Pelodiscus sinensis: one gene and its partner. The main gene of each other region encodes a partner of the protein of the gene in region 2 in a complex. Links are inferred from orthologs where the notes say so. Each region holds a gene or a part of one and is shown on either strand. Other genes may lie near its edges.

Region 1 (14,129 bases), on a different chromosome or scaffold from region 2:
CATACAGGTACAACTGGCTTCAACTCAATGTTAACTGCTTGGTTTTTATTGGCCCTGGACTAGGAGGGGTAACAAGCAAGCCAAAGAACAGGACATTCTCTGACAAGTAAGAGCTCAAAGTATTGGAGACTGTCATTTTACAGCCTGTTCAATCTCTGCTGTGCCCTACAGAAAAAAGACACATGACCTGCTAAATAACGTTTCTACATGAAAGTCACCTTCATCTAAAAACAGACACTCCCTCTGAGCTGAGGGAGGAGCTGCTGCATTATAACAGCGTCTGCCACATGTAACTGACTCTCTGCCTTCCTTTGGCTAAGCCTCACAGACAGCTGCCTCCTCTCCCAAAGCAGTATATTGACTGTTCAGTACAGAAGATCTCTCTGCTTATAGGGCTGATGCTTGTTCCACAGTTCAAGTGATGTGTGAAGTTTCAGACAATCCAGCTACTGGTGGAGGCTCTGGATACAGTCTCCATACCTCAAAGCCTAGAAGGAGGTTTTACATATATAAAGTCAGGCAGAATCAATGAGTAACTAGGTAAGAGAACTTCAGGGAGTCAGAATTGCTCAGTCTTCCCCATCAATCTGGCAAAAAAGCAGGTTCCAAACGTGCTCACAGGATACTTGTGAGGGATTAGCATGGCCCAGATTTTAGGAGACCACCAATTGTTCCCTCTTATAAGAATAACCAAAAAATTATTTCTTGGCACTGCAAATTTAATGGCGACTTCATATAACAGACAAAAAACTCATTTATCTAAATCTGTTTTAAGACCATGTTACCCATGATGAAGAGATTAGAGAGGAAAAAACACAGAACTGGAGGGACCCTTTAGGACAGTCATCAAGTCCAGTTCCCTGCATTCATGGCAGGACCAAGCACCATCTCAACCACATCAGCTTCTCCTTCCACCCTCATTTTCTTTAGGCTGTGTTTACAATGGCAATCAGCAACAAAACTTTTGTCATTCAGAAATGCTAACCCTTCCTCACCCCCACCCCAAAGACAAAGATTTGCAGGGATCAACTGTCAATGCAAACATCGCTCATGCGGAAGCTAGACTACACTGCCCCACTTTTAGCAACATGGCTGTGACAACAGGGCAATGTCGCTAAAAGCTGTAGGGTACAGTGTAGACCAGTGGTCCCCAACAGTGCCCGCAGGTGCCATGGCGCCCGCCGGGCCATTTCTGTGCGCCCGCCGAGTGATCGGGGCCAGCCCCGCCCCTGGGTGCGCAGTGCATGGGCTGTGCTGACCCCGAGCACACGGTGTATGGGCGTCCCCGCCCCGGGCACACAGCACAAGAGCAGTGCCAGCCCCAGGCGCACAACGCATGGGTGATGCCGGCTCCTGGGCGTGCAGCACCGGCCCCGGGAATGCAGCGCATGGGTGGCACCGGCACTGGGCACGCAGCCTATGGGTGGCCCTGCCCCCGGGTGCGTGTGCAGCCCCGCCCCCAGGCGCCCGGCAGCCCCAAAAGGTTGGGGACCACTGGTGTAGACCAGTGGTCACCAACCAGACCTTGGAGCCTCTGACAAGAGATTCTGACAGGTTTGGCTCTGAAGGCTATCAAGTGCTAGCACTTCAACTGCCTCTCCCTGCTGCTCCTGCCCAGAATCTCAGAGCTGCCCCCTGGGAGCCTCCTGCATGCTGTGCAGGGTGGGAGAGAGGTAGGGGGGCACTGATGTCACTCTGAAGATGGGGGACAGTGTGAGGAAGGTGGGACCTCGGAGAAGTGGCGGGAACAGGGGTATTTGGGTTTGAGGTAGATCCTGGACTGACAAATTCAAAAAGTGATCTTGTGCTTAAAAAGGTTAGAGACCTCTGGTGTAGACAAAGCCTTGCTTGGTGTATTTGATACACCCTTTATTTGTCTATATGTGGGTTTATCACAGCAAAAAAGGAGGGAAAAGATGGGGGAAAAAGGCTGGTTGGAAAAGCCAGATATTGTCATCAGTACAGTATCCAACACTTTTTTAAAAAAGTTAACACACTTGCAAAATGTTTAAAGCTTAGTTGTATTCAATAAGGTAAGGGGGAAAGAGCTATTCATACAGAATCAAAAAAGGAACTGAATAGGGAGAAGAAGAAAATAGCTTGTAACCATTTGCCAAGATGTACTACTGGAATTTGTAAGAGAAGCTAAATCCATGTCCTCAATGAAATCAAGATCATTTTTGACCATTTTTGAGAGAATCAATGTTAGACCCAAGGATTTCAAGTCACTTCTCTTACCTACGCACTCATCAGTATAAACCAGCATGTAAGGCATTTCTATATTAGCTGCTTTAACATTAAGGATTTTTCATCTCAGTCCCATTAACGGAATCAAGCCATAAGAGGAAGGCTGCTGAGATCCATTTAAAGGTTTTGTTTCAAACCAGAGTCACTCTGTAACCTTTGAAGTCCTAATAAAAGAAGCCAGGATATAACTATACTGACATACCACACAGTTCTCAGAGCAACAAGCTACTGAGCTGCCCAAACGATGGCCAGAACTACCCAACATGATTTTTTCCAGGGCTTTGCCTAGCGCCAGCACCCTAACACATGAGACACTGCAATTTCATTCCTTGGGAAAGGAGTTGAAAACACAAAGCTCAGGAAAATCCACATCATTGCAGAAACCCACCATAGCTAAGGGGGCACTGCAGAACTGAATGGTTTATTAAGGAGTCCCCCTCAATGCCTTCCTGATGTAAAGATGTTATCTTCAGCAAGCAGCTTTGACAAAGGAAGGAAGGAAAGTGGCATGTACAGAGACCCCTCTGTTTAAGCAAAAACAAAACAAAAACAGCTGCCCAGACAAAGCTTAATAGTAGGCTAACAAATTTACAGTAAGACCAATGCCTGACAAACTACATCATAGAACAACATTGGCATCAAAAGCCAGATGTAAACTGACCAAAGGACAGACGTGTGACTACAGGGGGCCAACTGGGAATGTTCCCACAAGTTGCTTAGATAGCCCTGTGGCTTGCCAGGCCATTGTTTTTCATGTGTTTCAAAGCACAAATTCATCTGCAGGAGAGAGGCTATACACTAGCCAAAACCTACTGCTTTGTTTGGAAGGGGGGGGATTGTGTCTCAAGTCCGATTTCTGAAGCCTCACATGGGAAGTGAGGCTTTTACATACAGCACAAACATTAGCCGTGACATACTGCACTTGGACGACAGACTAGCTTAATTTTGAGAAGCAGTGCACAGTATTAAAATGGAGGGTTAGTGTCAGGCTTTTCTAGAAGAATGCAAGCTCACTACAGATGCATACAGCAAGGGAAGGGAGGAATACAAGTTCCAATTTAATTTGTTGAATAGTGTGTCACAGTCCTCTGGATAGGAAAGACTTGTGGGGGACAAACAAATGCCATTTTCTGTCTTTAATCCTGCTGTATAAACAAGATGCAGTTTGCTCCTAGGCAAGAGCCATTTTATTACTATCCATGCATTTCTCTCCCTCGTGTACTTGCCTCCTCTGAGTTTTCATGAGGTACCAAATATGACTCAGAAAAACCACAAAGATCCCACCCACCGCTACACAACTCGAAATAGGGCAAGACCCAATAACTGCAGAGGACATCCCACTGCTCTGAGCAAGTATTAGGATTGAATTAGAGTCCTGGGTCTTATTTGTTTTCTCAGATTCCCTATGGCCTAAGGCACACCCATAGCCCTGTGTAAATAAATCCAGCAGGCTTCTTTGAGAACAGCACAGAAGGTGGGGAAACTGAAATGTCACAAAGCTTCAGGGAATGCCAAATCCTGGTTCATTTGCAGTCATATTTCTGTCCATGCCCAAAGACCATGCTGTTGCACATCTTCGAAATGGCCACCACACAGGAGTTTCGAGGTACTACTGGTACATTACGAACACCTAAGAAATACATAGGGCAGCACTGTTCCTCCATTAGCAGATTACCAACTGAAGCCCTATATGCACATTTTTTGAAGCCTGCAAATTAGTTAGTACTGACAGACCTTGTGAGATGATGAACTCATGCTCTGATAACTAGATTGGTAAGAGCCACCTTAGTTTTCATTCTTTATTGATTGCTTTATACACACACACACACACACATGAACATACACACAGAAATGTGAGTGTCAAACCAGCTTCACATTAAAAACAGAAAATGCTAATTAGAGACGAACCTTTTAATGGAGTTTCCATCTGCAAGCAGACTCATGGTCCCCAGGGGGAGGCTGAGAAATGGCTTATAGCATGTCTGGAGTGAGCGGAACATAACTACCCAGCCCATCTAGGATTTCCTTCACAGCTTACTGTGGGGACAGTCTGCAGATGGAGAGCTCACCCTGGAGGAATTATGCACCTCTGCCTCCCCACACTCCTTCAGCCCAGAGCCAGTCTCCTCCACATTCTTAATCCCACCATCACCCTCTTATCCTGGGAAATGGTGGCACACGCTCTCAGGGAAAGAGGATACCCACCCCAGATCTCCCTGTGCTTGGACACACCCCACCCCCTGGGGTGGAGGTAAGGAACAGTCCCACATACATCGGTGCCCCCTGGACACATGCAACACCCAGCTGCACCTCCCCCATTCCGCTCCTCCAGGTCCCTCACCCAGGGACTGCATGGGCCATGCCCCAGGAGGGCTCCCTCTGTTCCCACCGGCCCTGCCCCAGACACCCCCCCACCTCCCACCGCACCCTACCAAGGAGAGGAGTCGCTGAAGCCTGCGGCCCCCAGAGCAGCCCCAGGCCCCCCGCACCAGGGGGTCCCCGGCAGAGCCCTGGGCCCCCCCAACCCTGCTGGGCCTCAGACTCTCCCCCCTCCCGCTGCAGGGTCCCCCATGAGCCCACCCCATGGGACGCCCCACAGGAAGATCCCCCCCTGTCCCGAGAGGGGCCCCCCCCCCCACAGGCCCGGCCCCCCCCCGTCCCGAGAGGGGCCCCCCCCCCACAGGCCCGGCCCCACCTCCGTCCCGAGAGGGGGCCCCCACAGGCCCGGCCCCCCCCCACAGGCCCGGCCCCCCCTCCGTCCCGAGAGAGGGCCCCCACAGGCCCGGCCCCCCCTCCGTCCCGAGAGAGAGCCCCCACAGGCCCGCCCCCCCCCCACAGGCCCGGCCCCCCCTCCGTCCCGAGAGAGGGCCCCCACAGGCCCGGCCCCCCCCCCACAGGCCCGGCCCCCCCTCCGTCCCGAGAGAGGGCCCCCACAGGCCCGGCCCCCCCCCCACAGGCCCGGCCCCCCCTCCGTCCCGAGAGAGGGCCCCCACAGGCCCGGCCCCCCCCCCACAGGCCCGGCCCCCCCCCCGTCCCGAGAGAGGGCCCCCACAGGCCCGGCCCCCCCCCCCACAGGCCCGGCCCCCCCCCCGTCCCGAGAGGCCCCCCCCGTCCCGAGAGGGCCCCCCCCCACAGGCCCGGCCCCCCCCCGTCCCGAGAGGCCCCCCCCGTCCCGAGAGGGCCCCCCCCCACAGGCCCGGCCCCCCCCCGTCCCGAGAGGGCCCCCCCCACAGGCCCGGCCCCCCCCCCGTCCCGAGAGGGCCCCCCCACAGGCCCGGCCCCCCCCCGCCCCGAGAGGGCCCCCCCCACAGGCCCGGCCCCCCCCCCCGCCCCGAGAGGGCCCCCCCCACAGGCCCGGCCCCCCCCCCGCCCCGAGAGGGCCCCCCCCACAGGCCCGGCCCCCCCCCCGCCCCGAGAGGGCCCCCCCACAGGCCCGGCCCCCCCCCCCGCCCCGAGAGGGCCCCCCCACAGGCCCGGCCCCCCCCCCCGCCCCGAGAGGGCCCCCCCCACAGGCCCGGCCCCCCCCCCCGCCCCGAGAGGGCCCCCCCCACAGGCCCGGCCCCCCCCCCCGCCCCGAGAGGGCCCCCCCCACAGGCCCGGCCCCCCCCCCCGCCCCGAGAGGGCCCAGCCCGCTGCAGCGCCCCGGGTCCCGGCCCTACCTGCGGCGGAGGCGCCCGTCACGGCGCCCAGCAGCGCGCCCAGCAGCACCAGCGCCCCGGCCCCGCGCGCCCCCATGGTCGCCGCTCGCTGCCGCTAACCCGCCAAGAGCCGGCGCGCGCCGCCGCCGAGCCAAGTCACCTCGCGCCCGGCCCCGCCCCGCCCTTGCGCGCCCCACGGCGGCCAATCAGAGCGCCGCGGACTGGGCGGGGCCCACAAAGCGCCCCGCCCCTCCTGGCGACCGGAGCTCGCCGGGCCAGATCGAGGCAGCGCCCCGCCCACTGACCTTCGACGGCGGGGAAGGACGGAATCCGGGAGGGGACATGTGACCCGCAGGGTCGTGTCCTCGGGGCGCAGGTCGGGGCCGAGCTGAGCGAGGAAAGTCACGTGCGCGTGTGCGCACGAGAGAGGGGGACTATGCAAATGAGGAGGCAGGGCGTGGGGGGAGGGTATAGGAGGGGTACCAAGGGGGGAAGGGGAGAGGGAGAGGGTTGAGGCTGGTGGGGGGAAGGGCAGTGGGGGGAGGGCTACCAAGGGGGGGCAGGAAGGGAGGAGTACCAAGGGGGGGAAGGGTGGGGGGGAAGGGTATAGGAGGGAGGGGGTTGAGGCAGGTGGGGGGAAGGGCAGTGGGGGGAGGGCTACCAAGGGGGGGCAGGAAGGGAGGAGTACCAAGGGGGGGAAGGGTGGGGGGGGAAGGGTATAGGAGGGAGGGGGTTGAGGCAGGTGGGGGGAAGGGCAGAGGGAACAAGGATTTTGGGGGGGGCAGGGAAAGAGCAGACACCCATGTCTGGGCCTGTCTGCCCCTGCCCCAAATCACTTAGAGGCAGCTCAAGTCACAGCAAGGCCCCTAACGAGGCTGACTCAGGACTCCACGCAGCACGGCCTCCATCCCCTGCTGCGGATGAGCCAGACAGAACATGTGGGGGGAGAGCAGAGACTGGCCTTCCTGGTCAGTTTCTGCTGTAGGACACCCAGCCCCTCTGGGACTAGTGGAGCCATTCCTCCGAACCCCTGGGAGAAGTTCCCTGCCAAAGGGGCAGCTCTGTGCTTCCCCTTTCAGGCAGCAGCTAGCAAGGGGGCGTGAAGCTGAGGGCAGGGGTGGCGTGGAAATACATTTGGTGCCTTGGCAATGGGGAGCCTATAGCTTGACCTCCTCAGGCACTCAGTGTAGCAGATCACTGGTTCCCTTCGCACTGGCAGTCTCATGCCACTTTGCCGACATTGAATGAAGAAGGCATCCCAAATCTTCTGTGATGCTTTTGAGGCACAATGTCCCTGTGTTATAGAAAGGGGAACTGAGGCACAGAGTAGTCAGTACATTGCCTGAGGTCGCACAGCAAATCATCAGCAGAGCTGGGTGCAGATTAAGAAAACTGCAGGAGTCCTGCTGTCCCTCCTCCAGCTCACTATACACAATACTTCCTACACTTCACTGCTGCAATAAACAGTGCTGGCCTTACCATGAGGCAACACCCGAAGCAGCAGCCTCAGGTGTCAGACTGGGGGTGGGGAGGGACACCACTAGTTCACACTTTTTGAACAAGGCATTTTAAGTTGTTAGTTCTCCTTTATTGGGGTAGGTAGCAGAGCAGTTCCATGAGAGGAGTAGAACAGGAAGGAGGCAGAATTGAGACCTTTCAAAGTTTTGGCCCAAGCAAGGGGGCCTGGGGGCGTCATTTGAGCTCCCTGCCTCAGGTGCCAAAATGTTGTGGGCTGGCCCTGGCAATAAAGTACACAGTACAGCCCTTAGCTCCAGACTTGCTTATTGGATGGATTCTTGGGCAGTGATCCATTCATCAGGCATATACAGCAAGGGGGCTTAAAATCCAGGAGCTGTTCTCAACTCTGATCATTTCATTTTTGTACCTTCCCTTGTCTGTTTTAATAATAGGAATGAAGAATCCCTTCAAGAGAGGCTCTGCTTTGGTTTGGAAACACTCTACCCCCAGGGTCTGAAAGTGACACCAGCAATACATGAAGGAGCAAGATTGCCATCTTTCTCCAGGAACGCCCTGACAAAGGCACTCCTGCATTGCTTTTCCATCTGGGATGTTAGAGAGTGTTTATTTTAGTAATCACACACCTCAGAAAGGCAGTAAACTTGAGGAAAGCAAAAGCACCATCAGCTTTCTGTGTAACAAGGCCTGTTGAAGCCGGGTACTCGCCCTTTGTTCCAACCCAGAAAACCAGCTTTGAATTAAAAGACACATAGAAGGAATAAAGATGCTAATTATCTTACCCATTACAAAGATAGCTTCCCCAATTATCACCTCTAATACCATTAGCTCACAGACATTTACCTCCCTCCCTTCCCTCCCCCCTCCATCCTCCTTCTGTTCTGAAATGTGATTTGTCCTTTTCATAGGTGTTCATTTTTTTAATTGTCTCCTTTGGTATATATGGCTGTGACTATTTTCTTCCACTATTTGATCTGAGGAAGTGGGTCTGGCCCACGAAAGCTCATCACCTATTAAACCATCTTGTTAGTCTGTAAAGTGCTACACAGTCCTGTGTTTTGTGTGAGAAGGATTTGTGTGTGGTTTCAAGATTTCCAGCCCCACTACACCTGCCATTTTTAAAGCCAGACTATCAGCCTCCACCCCAGCGTTTATTCTGTCAATTGCTGCCAGCCAGGGGCGGCCTGTGGATGTAAGCAACCTCAGCAGTTGCATTTTACGCGGCGCCCAATGATGACATCACGCCATTGAGGGCTATGGAAGCGGGGGCGCCAATCGCGCATTCCGCCCAGGGCGCCAGATGCCGGCAGCTCTCCTCGAGCCGCTCCTGCTGCCAGCGTGCATGGGGCTGAGCAAGTCAGGGCAGCTAAGCAGATGGATAACACAGCGAGTGGCCCAGGGATGGAGTCTGTCAGAGTGAGACTAACCTCATCTTCTCCAGTAGGCTCAGTGCCAAAAATTCCAACTGTCTTTAAGTTGAATGACAAAGCATTTCAGATGCTCCAGAGCAGCAGCAGCAATTGTTCCTCTTGCTGATCAGCCACCAGCTCCTGGGAGAAGACCTATTCTTTCCCTCCCCACACCCTCCGTGCACCATGTATTTACTGAGGGATCCCTCTATGGCCTTGGTTTGTTCTGTTTTACTGCCTACAGAAGTCTGGAACGCACTGCCACTTTAATTGCTGGTTGCTCGAGGTGGAAGACCACGTGATCCATAGCTAGGATGTTGCTTGTGGCAGGCCAGGATGGGTTCCTAGTGGGGGTTGCCTCAGCAGTGCTTAGCTGTTACTGTAAAAATCCTATGGGAAGCCACATGGATTCTGTGGGCGGTTGAGAAGGAGATCAGACAGATACAACCTCCACTGTGACAGTGTCTGCACCAGCCACGGCTGGGTGGGGAGAGGTTGCTGTAATAGCCTTAAAAACAACCCCCGCCCCCTCCCCAGGTCAAAACCCAAGTAAAGCTAGGTATAGAGGCTGGTGCTCCATGTCACTGGACTTTGGCCGGGTCTGTGTTTGCAGACACCACACGCTTCCTAGGCCTCCTTACAGATTCGCATTCCAGCCAAATTCCAGCTCGTGCCCATTACAATGTTTCTGCCTCCTCCTGTTTTTTTCCATTCATCACTGCCAGCAACACTGTCCTCCCCATACTGATGCTGAATATTAATTGGATCAAGATCAGCCAAAAAGGCGGAACAAGAGTTCTGGAGCCAGCACCTTGGCTCCTAACAGCTGCTCTGGCGCTTTGCTTTTTATCCTCTGCTAGCTGGCCTGCTCTGTAAGTAGCTCTGGGCAGTCCCTCTTGTCTTTGATCCCAGAAGTGGCTGCGTTTTGGTGGGGGAAGGGAGCAAGGGAGCATGCCGGAGGTGCACTTCACCCGTATATCCCCACCCTCATTTTAATGGCTAAATGGGGTGCCCCCACATGTCCCGGCCCCTTGGGCGGTCCTCCTTCCACCCCTTCCCCCCTGCAGGCACTGGTCGCCCCTGGCAGGGAGAGAGGAGATTCTTGTATAGCAAAGTCTGGAACCTGCAGGGTTTGTGGTCGTTGGGAGGGGCACATGCGGGATCAGGACCAGTCATGCCATGTTAAAGGCAAAGCTGTTAGAATACAAGGTCTGGTTTGCAGCAGGAAAAACCTCCCATTAACGGCTAATTCCCCCCCCCCCCCACTATCCTGCCTCTCCCCAAAAGTCTCATGCCTGGGGATCTGGTATCCCAGGTCAACAACAAGTCCGACTCCTTTGCATGTCATCTCCAGCGGTGTCTCCTACAGACACGTGTTAAACTTTCGTTTTTATGGCTGGCTCCTAGGTCAGCGTGTGCCTCGTCCCCTCAAGAAGAGGCTTTAAGAGATGGGCGCGGCCCTGAACGCGTTTCTCAGCCATGCTCCGTGCCCGGTCTTTTCCCCTGGGGCACCCCACTGGCATCAGAAGATCGCCTGGAAGCCACACTAGATCGTGTCCTTAGAGAATCCAGCCCCGACTCTTCCTCAGGCACTTGGGCACCGCCTGACCGCACACGGCTAACCAGCTGGGCATCGGGGAGCAGAGCCAGCCCAGCTTGAGAACTCTGCCCCAGGGAGTGTGGGCTATAAAAAGCAACATGCACATTCGAGTTCCTTGGCAGGCGAGGGACGCGAGAAGCAAGGGCAGCGCGACACTGGCACTTGATCCAGTCGCCGCTGCTTGACAGGCAGCCCTGGGCGGTGAATGCGCGTGGGAATGCCGGTAAAGCGAGCCCCCCCTTGTAGGGGGTGGAAGTATTTGATCAGCACCAGCATTCCCCAGGGACGTAACGTCCCAGTTAATCAGTTAACCGGGCAAGTGTTGGGTTAACGGCCGTACGGGGCCAGCCCAAAGGTCCATCCAGCCCAGTAGCTGGAATGCTCTTAGCTAACCTGCTGGGCCTCGGGGAGCAGCGCTCTCCTCATGTTTAATTGGTTAACCAGCTAAGCAGGATCTGGGGAGGGCTGCTCCAGGCTCCCAGCCGCCACCAGAGCAGCCCTTGTCGGCAGCAGGCCCAGCTCCTAGCCCCCACCAGGTATCGGTTAACCGGAACCCGTAAGAATCCCCTGCGTAGGGTGATCTTACTGGTGACCTGGTTACCCTTTCTCAGCCCAGGTGTTCCCACATGGTGACCTTCATTTTAACATGACAGTGTCGAGACGGCCTTGTTGCTACACATGAGAACATAAGAACGGCCGTACTGGGTCAGACCAAAGGTCCATCTAGCCCAGTAGCCTGTCTGCCAACAGTGGCCAGCACCAGGTGCCCCAGAGAGGGTGGACCGAAGACAATGATCAAGCGATTTGTCTCCTGCCATCCCTCTCCAGCCTCTGACAAACAGAGGCCAGGGACACCATTTTATCCCCTGGCTAATAGCCTTTTATGGACCTAACCTCCATAAAGCTTTTTATCTAGCTTCTCTTTAAACTCTATTATAGTTCCAGCCTTCACAGCCTCCCCCAGCAAGGAGTTCCACAGGTTGACTATGCGCTGTGTAAAGAAGAACTCTCTTTTATTAGTTTTAAACCTGCTACACGCTGCCTTAGGTAGCCATGCCCTCAGATAAGCTAATTATACCAGTGTGATGATGGGCTCATTGAAGAGCTAGGGGCTTTCAGTGCAGTGAAGGATGCTTGTCTTTCAGATCATTCTCATTCCTCCACTTCCTCAGCGACCCTTTCCTTGGTCCTCAGAGCTGCTCTGGTCTTGGCATTATCTGTCTGCCCAGGAGAGAATATTTAAACCGGGGAGGGGGGAGGGAGCACTCTGGTGGGGAGAGTAGAGGCAGCGAAGAGAACAATGCACTGGCCACATAACAAAGTAAAAGGCAGGAGCAAGTTGACTTCAAAGTCTGAAGCCATCCCTTGGGTTTAGGTCAATTGATCTCATTCCCACCACCCTGGGAAGTTCACGTTGTTTCTGCAGCCAGAGGGCAGGATCAGGACGGATGTAGCCCCCCTGTCAGCGTGGTTATCCCACCAAGCACACAGCCAGGTGCATTATCTGAGGAGAGGCGTTAACTTTCCGCTGAAGCAGACCCCGGCGGGGGCAGGATATGGGAAGCATCGGTCTGCTCCCTGGTTGTATTTCCTGAGACTCAACTCCTGGGTTTGACAGGAACATGCTACAGCAGTTGGCCCTTGAGTTCAACTGTTGAGAGTCAAGCCACGATAAAATCATGAGATCTTAAAAAACAATCGAAGCCGGGGTCTTTTCCTTTGCCTTCCAGTGTTGGGGTGTCCTCACGGTTATGTTTTAGGCCTTTCTCTCTTACCACGAGCCTTAGAAACTGGAACTGGTTTTAAACAAACCAAAAATTGCATCCTATGTGAAATTCTGAGATTTTCCAATTTCATTTCATCCTGCCTTGGGTCTAAGTAGAAGTGCTGAATGTGTCATGACACAGAGCATTCCAGAACATGTAGCCGAGGTCAAAACATGTGTCTGACTTCCATATTTAAATTAGAAGACTAAATGAAACATTTCAGCCTCATCAGAAGAATTGCTTTTATAATTTCCTTTTGAGACTTTCAGAACCAAAAAAAATCCCAAGATGATGCCACCATATTTTGAATTCATTCACACCAGCTTTTGCCAACAGAAACGAGTTCCATCGAAAAATCTGCCCAGCTCAGTTAGAATCCTACTTTTCAAAAAAGAAAGGCCAAGATTCTCACGGAGAGTACGTCTACACTGCAGGGGCACCAGAGGAATCCCAGAAAACCCACCGCATCCAAGGAACATGTTTGCACTTTCACTTTTTTTTTGCAGAAGAGCAAACGCTCTTTCGGGGAGTCCTGTGTGCCTCGTTCTATGAGAGAGAAGAGCTTCGCTGCAAGAGGAGGGTTTTCCACCATTTGGCCCTGTCTAGAGTGGGCCAAATGGCGGAAAAGCCTCTTCTGGAAAAGCAACTGGAAAAAGCTTCGCAAATTGCCAAGCACAATTGTGTAGCTTTTTCCAAAAAAACCCCTCTGGTGTGGACCTAGCCTGAGACACATGATTCCTAGGGGCTGAGGCTTTAAGGGAAACCCCACAACACACACACGCTACGGCTACACTGTAGCCTTCTTCTAGAAAAGCTTATGCAAATGAAGCGTGACGTGGAATATCACCACGCTTCATTTGCATAATTAATTAGCAACTGCTTTTGCACAAAAAAGAGCTGTGAAAAAATGAGGAAGAATGGCTCTTGTGCAAAAAGGGGTTTTTGCGCAAAAAGAAGCGGTCTACACAGCTCCTTTTTGTGCCAAAGCGTCTACTAATGAATTATGCAAATGAAGCGCAGCAATATTCCACGCCACACTTCATTTGCATAAGCTTTTCCAGAAGAAGGCTCCAGTGTAGCTGTAGCCCTAGTGTGGCCCATGGTAAAATCCTGGGAGTGGGCGACCCAATGTCTCTAGAACTGTGGCTGAACTAGATGTGGAGAGAGAGAAAAGTTAATAATAGGTCTCGAAACCTGGATATTTGCAAAGATTCTGGATAGAAGTTTTTAAAAATTCATAAGATAACGTCTGTAAAAATAAAGCAAGAAAAAATCCCAGCTGAGAAGGCATCCCAGTCTCAATCCACCTTTCATGAGGTGGGCGAAGAAAGAATGACCAAGGGAAAGAAAAACAAGATAATTCTTGAGCATTTCAAGGGCAGATCTCCAAGCATTTTACAACCAAACTACGTGCCTCAGTTTCCCATTTCTTCGCTGCTATTTTGTGGTTTTGATGCATGACTTTCTGAACCTCCCCCTCAAGCGTTTAGGAATTGGATTATCTATTTCTCACCGAACTAAAGGCTCACAGGACAGGACAGCGTCCATCCGTCCCTCCGGAAGGATTCTAGAGTTTCACAGACAATACACATGCAGCACACAGCTGAAATGCAGCCACCTTTGGGGTGGCATGCAGGAGCCAGCTGTACAGCTCCTAGTGAAAAGTCCAGATCAAGGCCCCTGCCCGTGTGAGAGGAAATGTAGGGTCCGGTGCCCCTTCATAGCAAACGGGACCTGGTTTTTTTGTAAAGGATCTCTGAAAAACAAGAGCAGGGATCGTCTTCTGGGTCTGTTTGTACAACCCCTCGCACTGCGGGGCCACGGTCCATGAGCCAGGGCTCCTAGGCACTGTCATTGTAGAAGCAATGGCCGACACACAGGGGCAGGCCGAGCTGAGCCGACCCAGCGGTGATTGACAGTGGTTGCATTAACAGGAGCGTTGTGAACGAGACAGAAGTCATTCTTCCACTCTTCTCTGCGCTGATGAGGCCTC
Region 2 (14,882 bases):
GCCGGAGGGGGGCTCTGGACGTTCACTCGGGGAGGGCTGGTCTCACAGGCAGCCAGGGCCGATTGGCTCGTGGCAGATCAGACTCAGTGGGGAAGGGCGTGAGAAGCCAGTTGAGACAGGATTTTGGAGCATCTTGGAAACCGAACCAACTGGACTAAAGCCCGGTGCAGCTCCTGGCCCTAGGCCGGGCCTGAGCACAGCCAGGCTCTAGTCCGGGGGGGAGGGTGGGGACATCAATTAGTGGAGCTTTGTTCGAAAAAGGCAAAGGGTTGGTGAGCGGCGCGTTCCCTCCCCCACCCCGAATTCTCCCCATTTCCCTCCCTTCCCCCACCCCCTGAATTCTTGCCATTCCCCTCCCCCACCCCCTGAATTCTCCCCGGTCCCCTCCCCGACCCCGAATTCTCCCCGGTCCCCTCCCTTCCCCCACCCCCTGAATTCTCCCCGGTCCCCTCCCCGACCCTGAATTCTCCCCATTTCCCTCCCCTCCCCCACCCCCTGAATTCTTGCCATTCCCCTACCCCACCCCCTGAATTCTCCCCAGTCCCCTCCCTTCCCCCACCCCCTGAATTCTTGCCATTCCCCTCCCCCACCCCCTGAATTCTCCCCGGTCCCCTCCCCGACCCCGAATTCTCCCCATTTCCCTCCCTTCCCCCACCCCCTGAATTCTTGCCATTCCCCTCCCCCACCCCCTGAATTCTCCTCTCCCCTCCCCCACTCCAATTCTCACCTGCTTACCCATCTGTCCCCTGGGGGAAGTGCTGAACTAGAAGCCGGGTCTCAGACACAAACCCGTTTTACGTTATTTACCACCATTTTTATCCCTTTCGACCAATAGTGAACTGACCCTTCCCAGCGGCCCCTGCGGTGCCATGGCCATCCCCTACCACCAGGGAAACGCCGAATGTAGCAACAAAACCCGAGTGGTCTGAGAAATCACATGCAAATGGCAACGCTGCAGGGGCTGTGCACCAGGGCCGGGAGGTTCCCACTTCATGCCGCTGGAGCAGCGCAGGCTGGGCCTGGCAGGGAGATGGGGCAGGGCCTGGGCCCTGCAGACCTGAAGTCGGAGGAGCAAGGAAGGAGTTAGCTGCAGTGCAGCGGATCCAGGGCAGGGGCCCGCTCAGATCCAGCTCTCATGACACTCCCTGCAGTGAGCGCAGCCTGAAATAGGACTCTCAGCTCCCCGTGCTGGGTGCCACCTGTAGGACCCCACATGCCAGTGCTCCCGGCCTGCCCCCTCCACTCTCCGCCCTGGCCCCGCTGCCTGTTCCAGGGCTGCGGTGCTCGGACGCAGGGCAGGCACTGAGCTGGCTGGGCCAGACTGGAACGGGGTCCCCGGCTCAGAGCCCGGAGCTGAGAATCCCTCCAAGACGCCTGTTGGCCTGGACGCCGTTCTCCCAGCTTCGCCCAGCCAGCACAGATCACGAGAAGTGGTTCTGGCACAGCTGGTGCATCCGTCTGTTCACAAGGGCCGGCGCCGCGCCAGCTCGGAAACCCACGGCATCGTCGGCTAGCTCTTCTCGCTGGTCCCCTCCTTCCCCTTCAGTACCATCCACCACGTCCTGGCTAGGCCGGGCCCGCAGCGTGGGGTGGAACCATCCGTAGTAGGTGAGTCTCAGTAGTAGCCCCAGCACAAAGCAGGCCAGGGCAGCAGGCAGCATGGGGAGCAGGTAGGCGCGCTCAGGCAAGAGGGCGTCATACCAGAGCCAGGAGCCAGCCAGCAGCACGCTGTCCACCAGGAGGAAGCTGTAATAGATGGCGCTGCGGTGCCGCGTCTGCCCCTCGGCCACGTTGAACCAGCAGAAATACAGAATCACGGCCACGGTGGCCCTGTAGAGCCACTCCCGCCTGGGGCACTCCATGAAGTCCGTGCCCTGCAGCCAGACCCAGAGCAGAAAGGCTGCCCAGACCCCCAGGAAGTGCAGGCCCACGTAGCGCGGGAAGAGCGTGGCGAAGAGCGCGAGCACCAGGATGCGGGGGCAGAGCAGCAGGAAGTTCCACAGGAAGTAGAGCGCGGAGGAGCGCTGGTCCAGCTCCGACTTGTCCAACAGGAAGGAGCGGAGGCACTGGTGATAATCCAGCAGCGCCCACGCCACGCACAGGGAGGCTGTGCAAATCCCAAGCCCTGCGGGGGACAGTGGGGAGAGGTGCTGGCTTCACTCCCGCGGCATCAGGGCCTGGCGCAAGGAACCCAGCCCCCAGCTCCCAAGGGCCCTGGCCAGCCGCCCAGCCAGAGGGTCTGTCTCCGCCGTTCCTGTTCGCCTGCCCCACTTGTGCTGGAGGAAGCCCCAGAGACGCGTAGGCAGTGCCCAGCCCTGAGCCGCGCCCCACCCCACAGGCAGCGCCAGAGAACGGCAGGGCCTGGGTGCCAAGAGCCACAGGCAGGGCGGGCACCGTGGAGCTGGGAGGGTGAACAGCCATCTCCTTAGGGCCTGGGCCACGGTGACAAGCCTCCAAGGCCTCGGCCAGTGGTGCCCTGCTGCTTCCTGGGCCCAGCTCCTCCCGTCCGCCCGGACCCAAACGCCCAGGGAACCCTGGCCTGCCGGAGCCAGTGGAACAGGAGCTGGGGGCTCGGGGTTGGCCCAGATTTATGGCCCCCTGGGAAGCTCCAAGAGCCAATCCCTCTTGGAGGGCACTGCCCCACAGGTGCCCAGATGCAGGGCGGTGCCACCCCCATACCCGCCTGCGCGCACCGCTCCATGGGCCCAACACCCCCTTCCTCGGGGCAGGGCCCTGCTTCCCCCACCCTCCAGCCCTGGGTCTGGGTGATTTTCCCTGCCCCCCACATCCCAGCCCTGCCCCTCTTCTCAAAGGTGCTGGGAAGCAGCCCAGAGGGCACCTCAGTACCTGCAACCAGGCTTTCCTCAGCAAGACCCTCCTTGCAGCACACCCTGCAGGGGCTGGCCCGGGTGCAGAGCCAACGTGAGCGTGAGGCAGCCAGTCCCTCGAGCCTCACCACCCAGCTCTGAGCTAAGGCTCAGGGCTGGGGCCACTAGCACAGAGCTGAGGGCAGGCTGCAGGCCCCGCTGCCACCGCCGGGCTCCAGAACTAGGCCCGGCTCTTGTATCCTTCAGAACCCGGAGCTGCAGGAGCTCCAGGGATTGTTCCCTCATCCTGCTGCCCTGCCCCCGCCGCCGGGGCTGCGCCACTCACCCTGGAACGGCTCCAGCTTGTTGGTGTGCAGAACGATGGCCACAGCGAGCGTGAGCTGGGGCGCGCTCTCCAGGAAGGTCTCGAAGAGGCGCAGCATGCTGATGTCGTGGGACAGGAAGACAGCGTAGTGTCGCTCCTTCGGGGCAGCCTCCTGCCGGCACACGCGCCAGCCCACTCTCAACACGTGGAGACACCTGCGCAGACATCGCAGCCTTGCCGTGAGGAGGCTCCGCGCCAGGCCACACAGACACAGTGCCGTCCGTCCATCTGTCACGGGGGCGGGGGGATTCCAGAGCCAGCCTGCCCCCCACAGCCTGCTTGGTCTAGTCTCTCAGGTCCAGGGAGATCCCATTTACCTGCCTGTCCCTGGCAGCTCCCCACATGACCAGCCAGCTCTCCTGACACGGGCCCTACCGAGCGCCTGCTAATGCCAGGGCTCACCACAGGGTGAGATCTCTCTCTTGTCAAATCACTTCTCCCCCGCCCAGGTTTGGGGTATAATCCATCAGGAGGGAGAAATCCAGGGGTCATTTCCCCCCCAGTTTCAACGAAAACGACTTTTGCTCTGGATTTCACGTTCCCTACGTGTTTGAGACCCTGGCGCTAGAGCACAGGGCACCTCAAATCCGCTGGCCCTGGCCCAGAACCAAGAGCGAAAGTGGCATGTTACTTTCTAGTCCCAGCTGAGCAAAGTGCACCCCAGGCAATCGGCTGACATGGCGACCAGCAAAGGCGATTAACCAACTCAGTTCCAATGCAGAAGTGACGTCTGCTTTTCCCACCCAGGTGGCAGCCTGGCCCTGGGCCCCTCAGCCATGTGCGTCCGAGCCCTGGGCAGAGAATGAACAAAACGCTCCCCAAGGTGCTGCCAGACACGGTGCTGGGGAGGGACAGGGCCACGTGAGCTCAGTGCAGCACTGACCTGCCTGCAGCCTCCGGCCACAGCACTGAGTCTACGGGGGCAGCCACAGGCCTAGGCAAAAGAATCACAGAATCCTAGAGCACCAGGGCTGGAAGAGACCTCAAGAGGCAGCGAGTCCCGTCCCTGCCCTCGCGGCACCATGGAGACCAACCCTGCCAGGCGTCCAACCTGCTCTTCAATATCCCCAGAGAGGGAGATCCCACAGGCAACGTCTTCCCGTGTTTATCTCCCGACAGGCAGGAAGGGGTCCTCCGAGTCCCGTCTACACTAGCACTCCCAGCACGACTACTCCCAGCAGGGCAAAGCCAGCCGGCCAAGGGGGTGTATTTTAGGGGAAATAGCTGGAATGGATAAGAGGGGTAGGGCAGCTTCGGGCTCCTCAGCCCCAGCAAACAGCCCGGTTAGCTGAATCACCACTGGACCACACCAGAGCAGCCAGCCCTGGGCTCACGGGAGCTGAGCGTGGCTCACGTCGGCCTAGTCCCAGCAGACAGGTTTGCTGACAGCACAGCTACCCAGCAATGGCTCCTGACGCTTGCACCAGTCCCCCTGCCTGGCTAACGCTCCCGTGTGCAGCCATGTCTGCGCTGGGTGATTTGCTGGACCCGCCCTGGACTGACACTGCTGCAGCAGCGCACGCGAGGGCCCAGCTACCCGAGTGCTGCATCGGCGCAGGGGCAGCTGCAGCACCTCGTGAGGATGCTCCCACGGGGGCAGATTCCACCCCCGGAGGCACCGGCTCTGTCACCAGCAGAACTCGCCTGGGCTGCAAGAGCTCAGCAGAGGGGCCCCCTTACCTGTAGAGGTAGCCCAGCTGGAGGAGGTGCAGCACGTCCCGGCAGCGGTCACTGGGCAGGTCCTGCTCCCCGGGGTCTGTGTGGAACCAGGCCCAGCTGAAGAACTGCACGGCCAGGGAGGAGAGGCCCAGCAGCAGCAGCACCAGGCCCCCCCACAGGCAGTGCCCAGCCTGCAGGTAGCTGGAGGCCACCCACAGATCAGCCACCAAGTCTGCCAGGAAGGCAGCCGTGCCCAGCAGGGCGAAGAGCAGGTCCAGGTAGCGGTACCGGGGGGGGGAGTAAGCGCCATGGCCCGAGCCTGCCATGGCACAAAGGGACCCTGATGGCACCGCGCCACCCACCCTCTGCCTGCTGCACCAGCCCCCGGGGACCCCTCGCCAGAGACCTCCCCGCCCCTTCGCCCCCTGCTCCCTCCTGCCCCTTTACCCCCCGCTCCCTCCTGCCCCTTTACCCCACACTCCCCCCGCTCCCTCCTGCCCCCCTTCGCCCTCCTGCCCCTTTACCCCCCGCTCCCTCCTGCCCCTTTACCCCACACTCCCCCAGCTCCCTCCTGCCCCCCTTCGCCCTCCTGCCCCTTTACCCCGCACTCCCCCCGCTCCCTCCTGCCCCCCTTCGCCCTCCTGCCCCTTTACCCCCCGCTCCCTCCTGCCCCTTTACCCCACACTCCCCCAGCTCCCTCCTGCCCCCCTTCGCCCTCCTGCCCCTTTACCCCGCACTCCCCCAGCTCCCTCCTGCCCCCCTTCGCCCTCCTGCCCCTTTACCCCGCACTCCCCCCGCTCCCTCCTGCCCCCCTTCGCCCTCCTGCCCCTCTACCCCCCCGCACTTCTCCCGCTTCCTCCTGCGCCCCCGCCCCCGCCCCCCCGGGGCCTCTCCGCGATCCTTGCCCCGAGCGCTCCCGGCCCCGCAGAACCCCCCAGCGAACTTCGCCGGCCGCGGGCGGTTCCGGGATGGGCGCGGCGAGCCCCGGGGCAGGGCCCCGCCCCGCTGGGCTTCCCCCGGCCCCGCCCCCGCCCCCGCTGGGATCCCGGGCCCGGGGCGTGACGTGGTGGCGGCGCCCGGCGGGCCGGTTTGGCGCGGGCGGGAACGAGCCCCACGTGGGGCTGCAAGAGCAGGAACCGGGCCCGGGCGCCCCGCGGGGACGGGCTGGAGCGAGGCTGCCCGGCCCCTCCCCGAGCCTGGCACCGCCGGGGCCGCTGCTCCTGGGGGGCCCGGGCGCTCAGCCAGCGGGGCTCCCCGGGGCCCTTTCTGCGGACCCTGAGCCGAGGAGCCCCACGGTCAGTTCGCAGAGGGAGGCCAAGAGACTTTGCGGGGCCTCGGGGCAAGGGCTGGGACTGGGGCCTCGGCTTCCCCAGCCCTTCCGGGCCCTGGCATGGGCGGCTGAAGGCCCAGAGCCTTCGGGTTGAGCGTTTTATTCTTCTAGTTCTTGTTCTAGTGACAGTAGCGCAGCAATAAGAGGCCCGTGTATGGCCACGTCCGTGTCATCAAGTCCTTTCAGTTGACAGTTTAAGTCCCGGCTTGACAAGCCCTGGCCGGGCTGATTTAGTCGGGATTGGTCCTGCCTAGAGCAGGGGGCTGGACTTGACCTTCCGAGGTCTCTTCCCGCTCTATGAAGGTCTATTTTCTTTACTCTGAAGTAGAAAACCAGTTCTGGGTATTGTGGCTGCGTTAATAAGATTAGAGGAATTCTGCGAATGTTGAAGGCCAAGCCTGAATGGTTTAATTTACAACGCTTTTGCTTTGCCATGCAGATCTGTAACCCCGGAGAGTTGTGTATGTAGGAGTGTGAATGTGTTAAGATAAGATGCAAAGTTCTACGGCTTTAGAACCAGGTGGTCAAAGGAGGGGGTTGAGCGAGTGCGGGCAAAGGACCGAAGATGAGCCAACCTGACTGCAGAGGAGTCATCTATGACCATCAATGCGTACCCCCTACTCACAAGAAGATTGGATAATTAGCAGATTGACGAGCCTTAAAGTGGAGCAAGCACCCCGAAAGGACGATTGGTTACAGGATGAACCTTCGCGAGATGTTTTGGGAACACTCACATCAAAAAGATAACATTCCAGTCCCAAGCTGACAGCAGGATCCATGGATTTTAGCAGAGAAGAAGGAATATATAAAGCAGGGTGCTTTGCTATGGAACTTTGGGTTTCGTCTTGCCAAGACACCATCCCGAGAGGAGCATCGGATGGCGACCGACAAAAGGCCCTGCTCCCCCTGTGTTTGATCTAGCTGGCCACTAGATTGACACAGACTCTGGACTGGTAACTATGATACCATTTGGCAGAATGATGTATGCATGATGTTTTGTGAGCGTGTGTGTGATTGAAAAGCGTACGCAACTGTTGTATTTTCAATAAATGCGGCGTCCTGCCTTCCCCCATAAAAGATCTCGTGTGCTTCATTTAAGCATAACGAGCTCTAGCTGCTGCCCCCCCGCCCAGCCATTGGCAGGCTAACAGTGCCCAGCTGTCCTGGCTTATGCCGCACCACCATGCCAGCTGCCCCCGGCGCCATCCCCTGCTCATTCAGCCCCTGTGGTGCATTGGCACTAGGAAAAAAGGCAAGTTCTTATTCAAGTTACCATGCGTGGGCTAGAAAACCAAGTGCCAAGGTGGGTGCAGTTCCACATTTGTTAGCAGGCTGAGATAACGACTCTGCAACGCAAGAAGAACCCCCCCCCCCCCATGTCACGTGGGGTGGACACAAATTCCCACCCGCCTTCTTAGTTAGAAGACACGAGGCAAGACAGCCAATCCTCTTTATTGGAAAGAGACAAAGCCGAGCCATAAAACCCCTGCCATAAAAACACGTCACCTTCTTCCGGAGCAAATTCCAGCCCCGGAGGCATTGGCTGGTGTTGACTCAGGTGCAGGATGCTCGGTTTGCACGGGACGAACCTGTCAGGGTCACCAGAGAGGCCCCTGGGAAGGGAGAAGGCTGAGCAGCACACCGAGGAAGAAAACGGGGGTTGCTGGCAGAGCAGATACAGCAGGGAAGCTTCCGGCTTTAGCACATTCCTCATATTGAGTAAAATCCACTTCCCGGATAGCACAGAGATGGTCGGTGCGGCAGCTCCCGTCGCACTCGCTGAGGTCGTACTGCACGGAGTTGAAGCGATAGTACTGCTGCAGGTACTGCTTGTCCTGTGACAGCTTCTCCAGCACCATGTGCATGGAGCGGGCTGACCCGTCGGGCACCTGGAAGGCCTCAGTCAGCCGATACTCCTTCTCCCAGCTGGGGCCTGCCAGGTTAGCATGAGTGAGGTTCACGTAATAAGTCACCATGTCCTGCGCAAGAGAGAGAAGACCAAAGGGGGTTAAGAGGGCAAACAAGCACAGGAACTGCCCTGGAAATGACCCCCCGGCCAGGGCTGGGTCTCAGCAGCTTCCTGACACTGGTGCTGAGGTGGGGCACTTCCACCAGTCCTACCCCGACAGGCAGAAGCAGCCGCTGCCCAGGTGCCTCACTGGCCCTGACCCGCTCTGCTGGAGCAGTTCTGGCTGGCTGGGGGCTCCACTTGGAGGCTTGCCCATCACGCGGGGGACTTTATCCCTCAGCTAGCAGGCCATGTGCACAGGGCTGTTACTTGGGCCCCGGTTCAATGGCTCTTGCAGGGGCAGCTCTAAAGGAGCTTGGCCAGGCTGCTTTGCGCCTCTCTGCAGGGTGGCGAAGGAACCGAGCACTTGAGCTGCCACGGAGCTCTGGGCTGTGGGGAGGGCTCAGCTTTATGTAAGCAAGAGCCCTGAGGGATGACTGCTCCGTGCCCAGCAGTCACCATGTGTTCCCAGATCAAAGCCACAGCAGAGCTGCACACATCCTGTTAAAACCCTGCTGCTCTGCGCCACTCCCCTCTCCTCCTCCTGCTCCCAGCCATCCAGAGTGTCCTCGGGGCAGAGAGATGTTGAATGGAACAAACAGGAGCTTACAATGATCCTCGGGTCCTCGTTACTGCTGCCGCGCACACGTTTGGCCTTTTCAGGTGGCAGAGAGACTGCGGCAGAGCCCCGTTATAACCCTGCTATTCCCTGTTCCCATCAGGCGCAGGGCCTGTACACATGACAATCCCTCGCTCCTGCAGGCCGGGTCTCGCTAACAGACAGCCCCCCATACCAGACATACCACCAATCACACCTCTCGCAACAGAAACCTCGCCCCACGAAAACCCCATCGCCAGCTCTGGTGACACCGTCACAGGGCCTGACCACATCAGCTCATTCACCTGCACATCTACGACTGTGCCATCATGCACCAGCAGTGCCCCTCTGCCATTCACGTTGGACAGACCTGCCTGTCTCCGCTCAACAGAGTGAATGGACAATGTGGGGAGCACGTTAACCTGCCTGGCCACACCATTCCTGACGTGCAAAACAACTGCACACCAGACGCAGAGAGACACGGCTGAGCTGCAATTCAAGGCCCTTGTGATGCCGTCCAAAGCAGTTTAAACAGAGGCATGGAATGGCTCTCATCACACTAGGCAGTTTCCCCTGCAGGTCCTCTCTCCGTCTCCTCACTGTTGGGCTCCGTCTATACTGGCTTATTGGAGGCAGAACGGCTCTTGTGCAAGAGGGGGGTTTGCGCAGGAAGGAGCAGTGTAGACTGCTCCTTGCACAAAATGGCAGCTCATTAAGTATGCAAATGATTCATCGTTGTGCCTCATTTGCATCTGTTCTTGCGCAAGACTGGCCAGTGTAGATGTAGCCTTTGAGATGAGCCACCTCCCCTCTCATTCAGCTAGCACTGCGGTCCCGCTCCCAGCTCTGGTCCCTGCTTCTCCTCCCCAAGCGTCTGAGGAAGGGGTTTATATTAAGGATGTTAACTAACAAGTAATTTACTAGTCGATAGGCACTTCCGCATTCCTCCTCTGAAATGTACAAGAGCACCCGAGGCAGCATTTCAAAGGGGCAGCGCCCGCTCTTCCCCGTTTGCTGCCTCTATCTGACAGGCAGCAAGAGGGGGGGGAATCAACTAGCCCTTAACATCCTAGTGTGTATCGCATGAGAGCTTCTGCCCTAACCCGTCTGTTAGTCTTTCAAGCGCCCCAGCCGCCTGCCTGTCAGCACAGGTCCTGTTCGGAACATGCCACGTTCTGCACCAGAGCAAGAATCTCGCCTGGGGGCTCCTGTCAGGGCTTTCTTTCCTGAACGGAAGGGCTGGAAGGCCCATTGCTTGGGCTCGTTATACAAGCCAGGGAAAGGCCTGGAGAACAGACCAAGGGGCGCAATCCTGCCCTGTCCTGGGGGCTCCGACTCCAGCAGCCTCTTGACACCCACATGGCCCTGAATTTTCTGCCCTCCGCCCTGCACGTGCACAGTGGCTCTGGAGTACTTTGCCTGTCTCTCCCCGGAGCTGTCGGTTAGTTATTGGAGCAACGCCGGCTGCAGCTGCTGTGCCCCAAGGGACAGACCATGCCGTGGGGGGGGGCTCACCTTCACTTGCAGGGAGCCTCGGTCGTAGTCAAAGACCCGGATGCCAGGGTTGTTGGCGCCATTGTGCACGCCAGGCAGCGTGGTCTTCCAGGGGGTCACGCCTGGCGCTAGAAACATGGCACTGATGGGGGAACCTGCATGGGAAGGCAAATGGAGCCTGCCTGAGTCACAGCCTGGCCCAATCCAACTACAAGCCTTGTGCTTGGCAGGCAGCCTGTGACGCTGCCTAAGCCACTTGGCTTGCAACACGTCAGTCGCCCAACGACAGCCACCGGCACGTGGGCATCAGTCACCTTATGACAGCCACCAGCGCACAGGCACAGCAACACCATCCTGGCAGACACCAGGGTGGGATTGGGACCTCCCACCTAAAAGCACAACTCTGCAGCAAGAAAACAGGCTGCAACAGCCGCATGTGCCCCGTGGCTCCCACTCCGAGCGCTGCATGCTCTGTGCTGCTATCCCCCAGGGCCTCCGTAGGTGGGGCCAGATGCCCGGATGACGGGCACCAGCAGCCGTGGGGCAGTGTACAGTGCTGGGAGGCAGGAGGATTTGCCAGTCACACAGGCCTGCTAGGGGCTTGCCACCTCCTGGTGCCCATGGCTTTCCGCCAAGGGCCCCGATGTAGTGTTGGCTAGACCAGATGGGGCCAATCCACCCCATGGCATTTCAGGACATGTGATGCAGGACCAATGGGATGCCCTGCAGCCAGGGCTCAGCCCACGCTGTGGCACGGTACCGCCATGGCTGTAAAAGAGCCGAAAGCTGTCAGTGTGATGGTGCCCAAAGAACTGGGCAGCTATTGCTCCGTGGTGCCGCTGCACGATCTCGACATAGCGCCTGTTAAAGTGCTCCCGGAACCAGGCTTTGTGCCGCTTCTTCTCGAAGAAGCCGGGCGGGACGTGCCCCACGATGTAGACCTGCCGCAGAAAGGAGCCGGGCTGTCAGGCGGCCTGCAGAGGCTGCGCTGCAGGCTTTGCACAGGGAGGAGCAGCTCAGCGGCAGAAGCTGCTTCCAGGAGGAAGGAAACCGTTTTACCATTTCTCCTGCCTTCGCTGCGGAGGTCAGCACGTCCTCCAGCCACTGGAACTGCCCGCCGGGGTCCTCCACACCCGCCGTCTGACTGTTGCTCTCATAGTACAGGTTGGTGTTGAGGACAATCATTTGTCCCTTGGTATTGGGACCGCGCAGCTTCTCACTGTAGAAAGCACCTGCAAACCCAGCCAGCAGGAGAGAGGCCTGAAGGGACAACACCTCTCCCACCCCCTCTGTTACCGCCACTGGCTCAGCTGCCCAGGGATGCTGGCCTGGGCAAGGTGCCAGCAGCTGCCAGCACGTCGCCCACTCAGAGGCTTCCGAGAGCCCTGCCTGCCTCAGCATGCCAGAGCTGCTCCCAGCCCTGCGGCCGCAGCGTGGGCAGGGCGCTTGTTGGCTAAGCAGCCCAAGGGGCCCAGCCTCTGCCCCGTGCCTGTCTGGGAGTCTGACCCAGGCGAGGGCTATGCTGGGAAGGGCTGGCGACAGAGCACGCCCGTGTAGACAAGGCCCAACCCTCCCGGGCTATGTGAGGGCAGGCCGCCTGCCTGGGCTGCCCTGGAGGGCAGACGAGATCCACTCAATGGTCCCTCCTGGAATCTCGGACCCAGGGTAGCCATGTTGGACCAGGGCTAGGGAGGCCCTGAGGAGCAACGGTCTGTGCAAATCAGGCCTGGAGCTGGGCCTTGAGTCCCACAGCCTCCTAGTCGTTCCAGGCCAGGCCCGATGGTTGCGCGAAGGGACACCGTCGGGGCACCCTTCTACGCAGCTGAGAAAGCAGGCGAGCTGGAGGGCCAGGACACGCTGTTCCTGGGCTCCTGTGCAGCTGCCTGTGGGCTGGTGAGAGGAGCTGGGTTGGCAGCCCATCGGGAGGGCCCTTCCTCTCCCTCAGATGTGCCGCAAACTGCCCCTCCGTAGAGGGGACCGTGTCCGACCCGTCCCACAGCCGGGGCTGGCCAGGGAGGGAGCCGCACATGCCTGCTCTGAAGGTTGGGATGGAGGCATTGCTGAGCCAGGAGCGCCACAGCTCGGCTGTTGCGTTGTAGATCCGGTGCGGCGTTGGGGGGAGCTGGTTCTTGGGGTGGAAGTCGTGGTTGCCTATGGCAGGGTAGACGGCAGTGTCTGGAGCAGAACAAGAGGACACGTGAAGGCTGGTTTGGTGCCTGGAGCCAAGGGAAAGGACAGAGACTCTGGGCAGGACAAGAGGACATGGGCCTTCCCGTGCAGGGGCGACTGGCTGCTTCTCAGCCAACGTGCTGGTTCTGGCCAGTGGTTAGGAATAAACCACCAAGAACTACGGACAGACCCCTTGAGCCCAGAGCTGGGCTTGGGGCAAAGTCCCCTCTCGTGGCTGTGGTGAAACTGGGCAGAAACCCCACCCCAGGCAAAGCGTCACCAAGTCCCACTGAAGGGCTAGTTGGGGGCTTTCAGTGGGGACCAGGGAGGAATTGGGTAGATCGGTGGTTGGGGAGCAGCTGTTCAGGGGGAGTACGTGGAGAACTGCTTCAACTCGGCACCTGGGGAGCCATTTATAGTAAGAAAAGGCAGTGCTGGGGAGGGTTGGGGGAAGCCCCTGGTGAGGAGCTGTTCTGGGGGGTTATGGGGGGAGCCCCTGGTGAGGAGCTGTTCTGGGGAGCTATGGGGGGAGCCCCTGGTGAGAAGCTGTTCTGGGGAGCCCCTGGTAAGGAGCTGTCCAGGAGGCACATGGGGGGAACCCCTGGTGAGGAGCTGTTCTGGGGGGCCATAGGGGGAGCCCCTGGTGAGGAGCTGTCCAGGGGGGCAATGGGGGGAGCCCCTGGTGAGGAGCTGTTCTGGGGAGCTATGGGGGAAGCCCCTGGTGAGGAGCTGTTCTGGGGGGCCATGGGGGGAGCCCCTGGTGAGGAGCTGTTCTGGGGGGCCATGGGGGGAGCCCCTGGTGAGGAGCTGTTCTGGAGGGCTATGGGGGAGCCCCTGGTGAGGAGCTGTTCTGGGGGGCTATGGGGGAGCCCCTGGTGAGGAGCTGTTCTGGGGAGCTATGGGGGTGCCCCTGGTGAGGAGCTGTCCAGGGGGGCCATGGGGGGAAGCCCCTGGTGAGGAGCTGTTCTGGGGGGCTATGGCGGGAGCCCCTGGTGAGGAGCTGTTCTGGGGGGGCTATGGGGGAGCCCCTGGTGAGGAGCTGTTCTGGAGGGCCATGGGGGAGCCCCTGGTGAGGAGCAGTCTAGGGGGGCCATAGGGAGAGGCCCCTGGTGAGGAGCTGTCCAGGGGGGCCATGGGAGGAGCCCCTGGTGAGGAGCTATTCTAGGGGGCTATGGGGGGAGCCCCTGGTGAGGAGCTGTTCTGGAGGGCCATGGGGGAGCCCCTGGTGAGGAGCTGTTCTGGAGGGCTATGGGGGAGCCCCTGGTGAGGAGCAGTCTAGGGGGGCCATAGGGAGAGGCCCCTGGTGAGGAGCTGTCCAGGGGGGCCATGGGAGGAGCCCCTGGTGAGGAGCTGTTCTGGGGGGCTATGGGGGAGCCCCTGGTGAGGAGCTGTTCTGGGGGGCTATGGGGGAGCCCCTGGTGAGGAGCAGTCTAGGGGGGCCATAGGGAGAGGCCCCTGGTGAGGAGCTGTCCAGGGGGGCCATGGGAGGAGCCCCTGGTGAGGAGATGTTCTGGGGGGCTATGGGGGAGCCCCTGGTGAGGAGCTGTTCTGGGGGGCTATGGAGGGAGCCCCTGGTGAGGAGCAGTCTAGGGGGGCCATAGGGAGAGGCCCCTGGTGAGGAGCTGTCCAGGGGGGCCATGGGAGGAGCCCCTGGTGAGGAGCTGTTCTGGGGGGCTATGGGGGAGCCCCTGGTGAGGAGCTGTTCTGGGGGGCTATGGGGGGAGCCCCTGGTGAGGAGCTGTTCTGGAGGGCCATGGGGGGAGCCCCTGGTGAGGAGCTGTTCTGGAGGGCTATGGGGGAGCCCCTGGTGAGGAGCTATTCTAGGGGGCTATGGGGGGAGCCCCTGGTGAGGAGCTGTTCTGGAGGGCCATGGGGGGAGCCCCTGGTGAGGAGCTGTTCTGGGGGGCCATGGGGGGAGGCCCCTGGTGAGGAGCTGTTCTGGAGGGCTATGGGGGGAGCCCCTGGTGAGGAGCTGTTCTGGAGGGCCATGGGGGGAGCCCCTGGTGAGGAGCTATTCTGGGGGGCCATGGGGGGAGCCCCTGGTGAGGAGCTGTTCTGGGGGGTCATGGGGGGAGGCCCCTGGTGAGGAGCTGTTCTGGAGGGCTATGGGGGGAGCCCCTGGTGAGGAGCTGTTCTGGAGGGCCATGGGGGGAGCCCCTGGTGAGGAGCTGTTCTGGGGGGCTATGGGGGAGCCCCTGGTGAGGAGCTGTTCTGGGGGGCCATGGGGGGAGCCCCTGGTGAGGAGCTGTTCTGGGGGGCTATGGGGGAGCCCCTGGTGAGGAGCTGTTCTGGAGGGCCATGGGGGGAGCCCCTGGTGAGGAGCTGTTCTGGGGGGCCATGGGGGGAGCCCCTGGTGAGGAGCTGTTCTGGGGGGCTATGGGGGAGCCCCTGGTGAGGAGCTGTCCAGGGGAGTCATGGGGGGAGCCCCTGGT

The links.
Region 1: the proteins of XKR8 (region 2) and BSG are in contact, whole or in part, in a cryo-EM structure (PDB 7DCE), measured with the Homo sapiens proteins. The link is inferred for Pelodiscus sinensis from reciprocal best matches to the Homo sapiens genes XKR8 and BSG. Residues at the interface, in NP_060523.2 of Homo sapiens: His232, Leu236, Val239, Leu242, Trp243, Leu246, Gln247, Arg280, Gly283, Arg284, Ile287, Phe291, Ser294, Asp295, Leu298, Ala301, Thr302; in NP_001719.2 of Homo sapiens: Trp326, Pro327, Gly330, Ile331, Glu334, Val335, Leu338, Val339, Ile341, Ile342, Phe343, Tyr345, Glu346, Lys350.

What each region holds. Positions count from the first base shown.
Region 1 is NC_134729.1:15,824,049-15,838,177, reverse strand, and holds the start of BSG (basigin), read right to left. Parts: upstream 6,068-14,129; 5' UTR 5,983-6,067; coding exon 5,907-5,982; intron 4,790-5,906; exon of another isoform or gene 4,175-4,789; coding exon of another isoform or gene 4,156-4,174; intron 1-4,155. Other genes in the region: basigin-like, read right to left, coding at 4,156-4,174.
Region 2 is NC_134735.1:22,921,287-22,936,168, reverse strand, and holds XKR8 (XK-related protein 8), read right to left. Parts: upstream 5,318-14,882; 5' UTR 5,178-5,317; coding exon 4,873-5,177; intron 3,348-4,872; coding exon 3,154-3,347; intron 2,126-3,153; coding exon 1,422-2,125; 3' UTR 703-1,421; downstream 1-702. Other genes in the region: SMPDL3B (acid sphingomyelinase-like phosphodiesterase 3b), read right to left, coding at 7,780-8,160, 10,303-10,436, 11,042-11,222, 11,341-11,513, 12,313-12,456.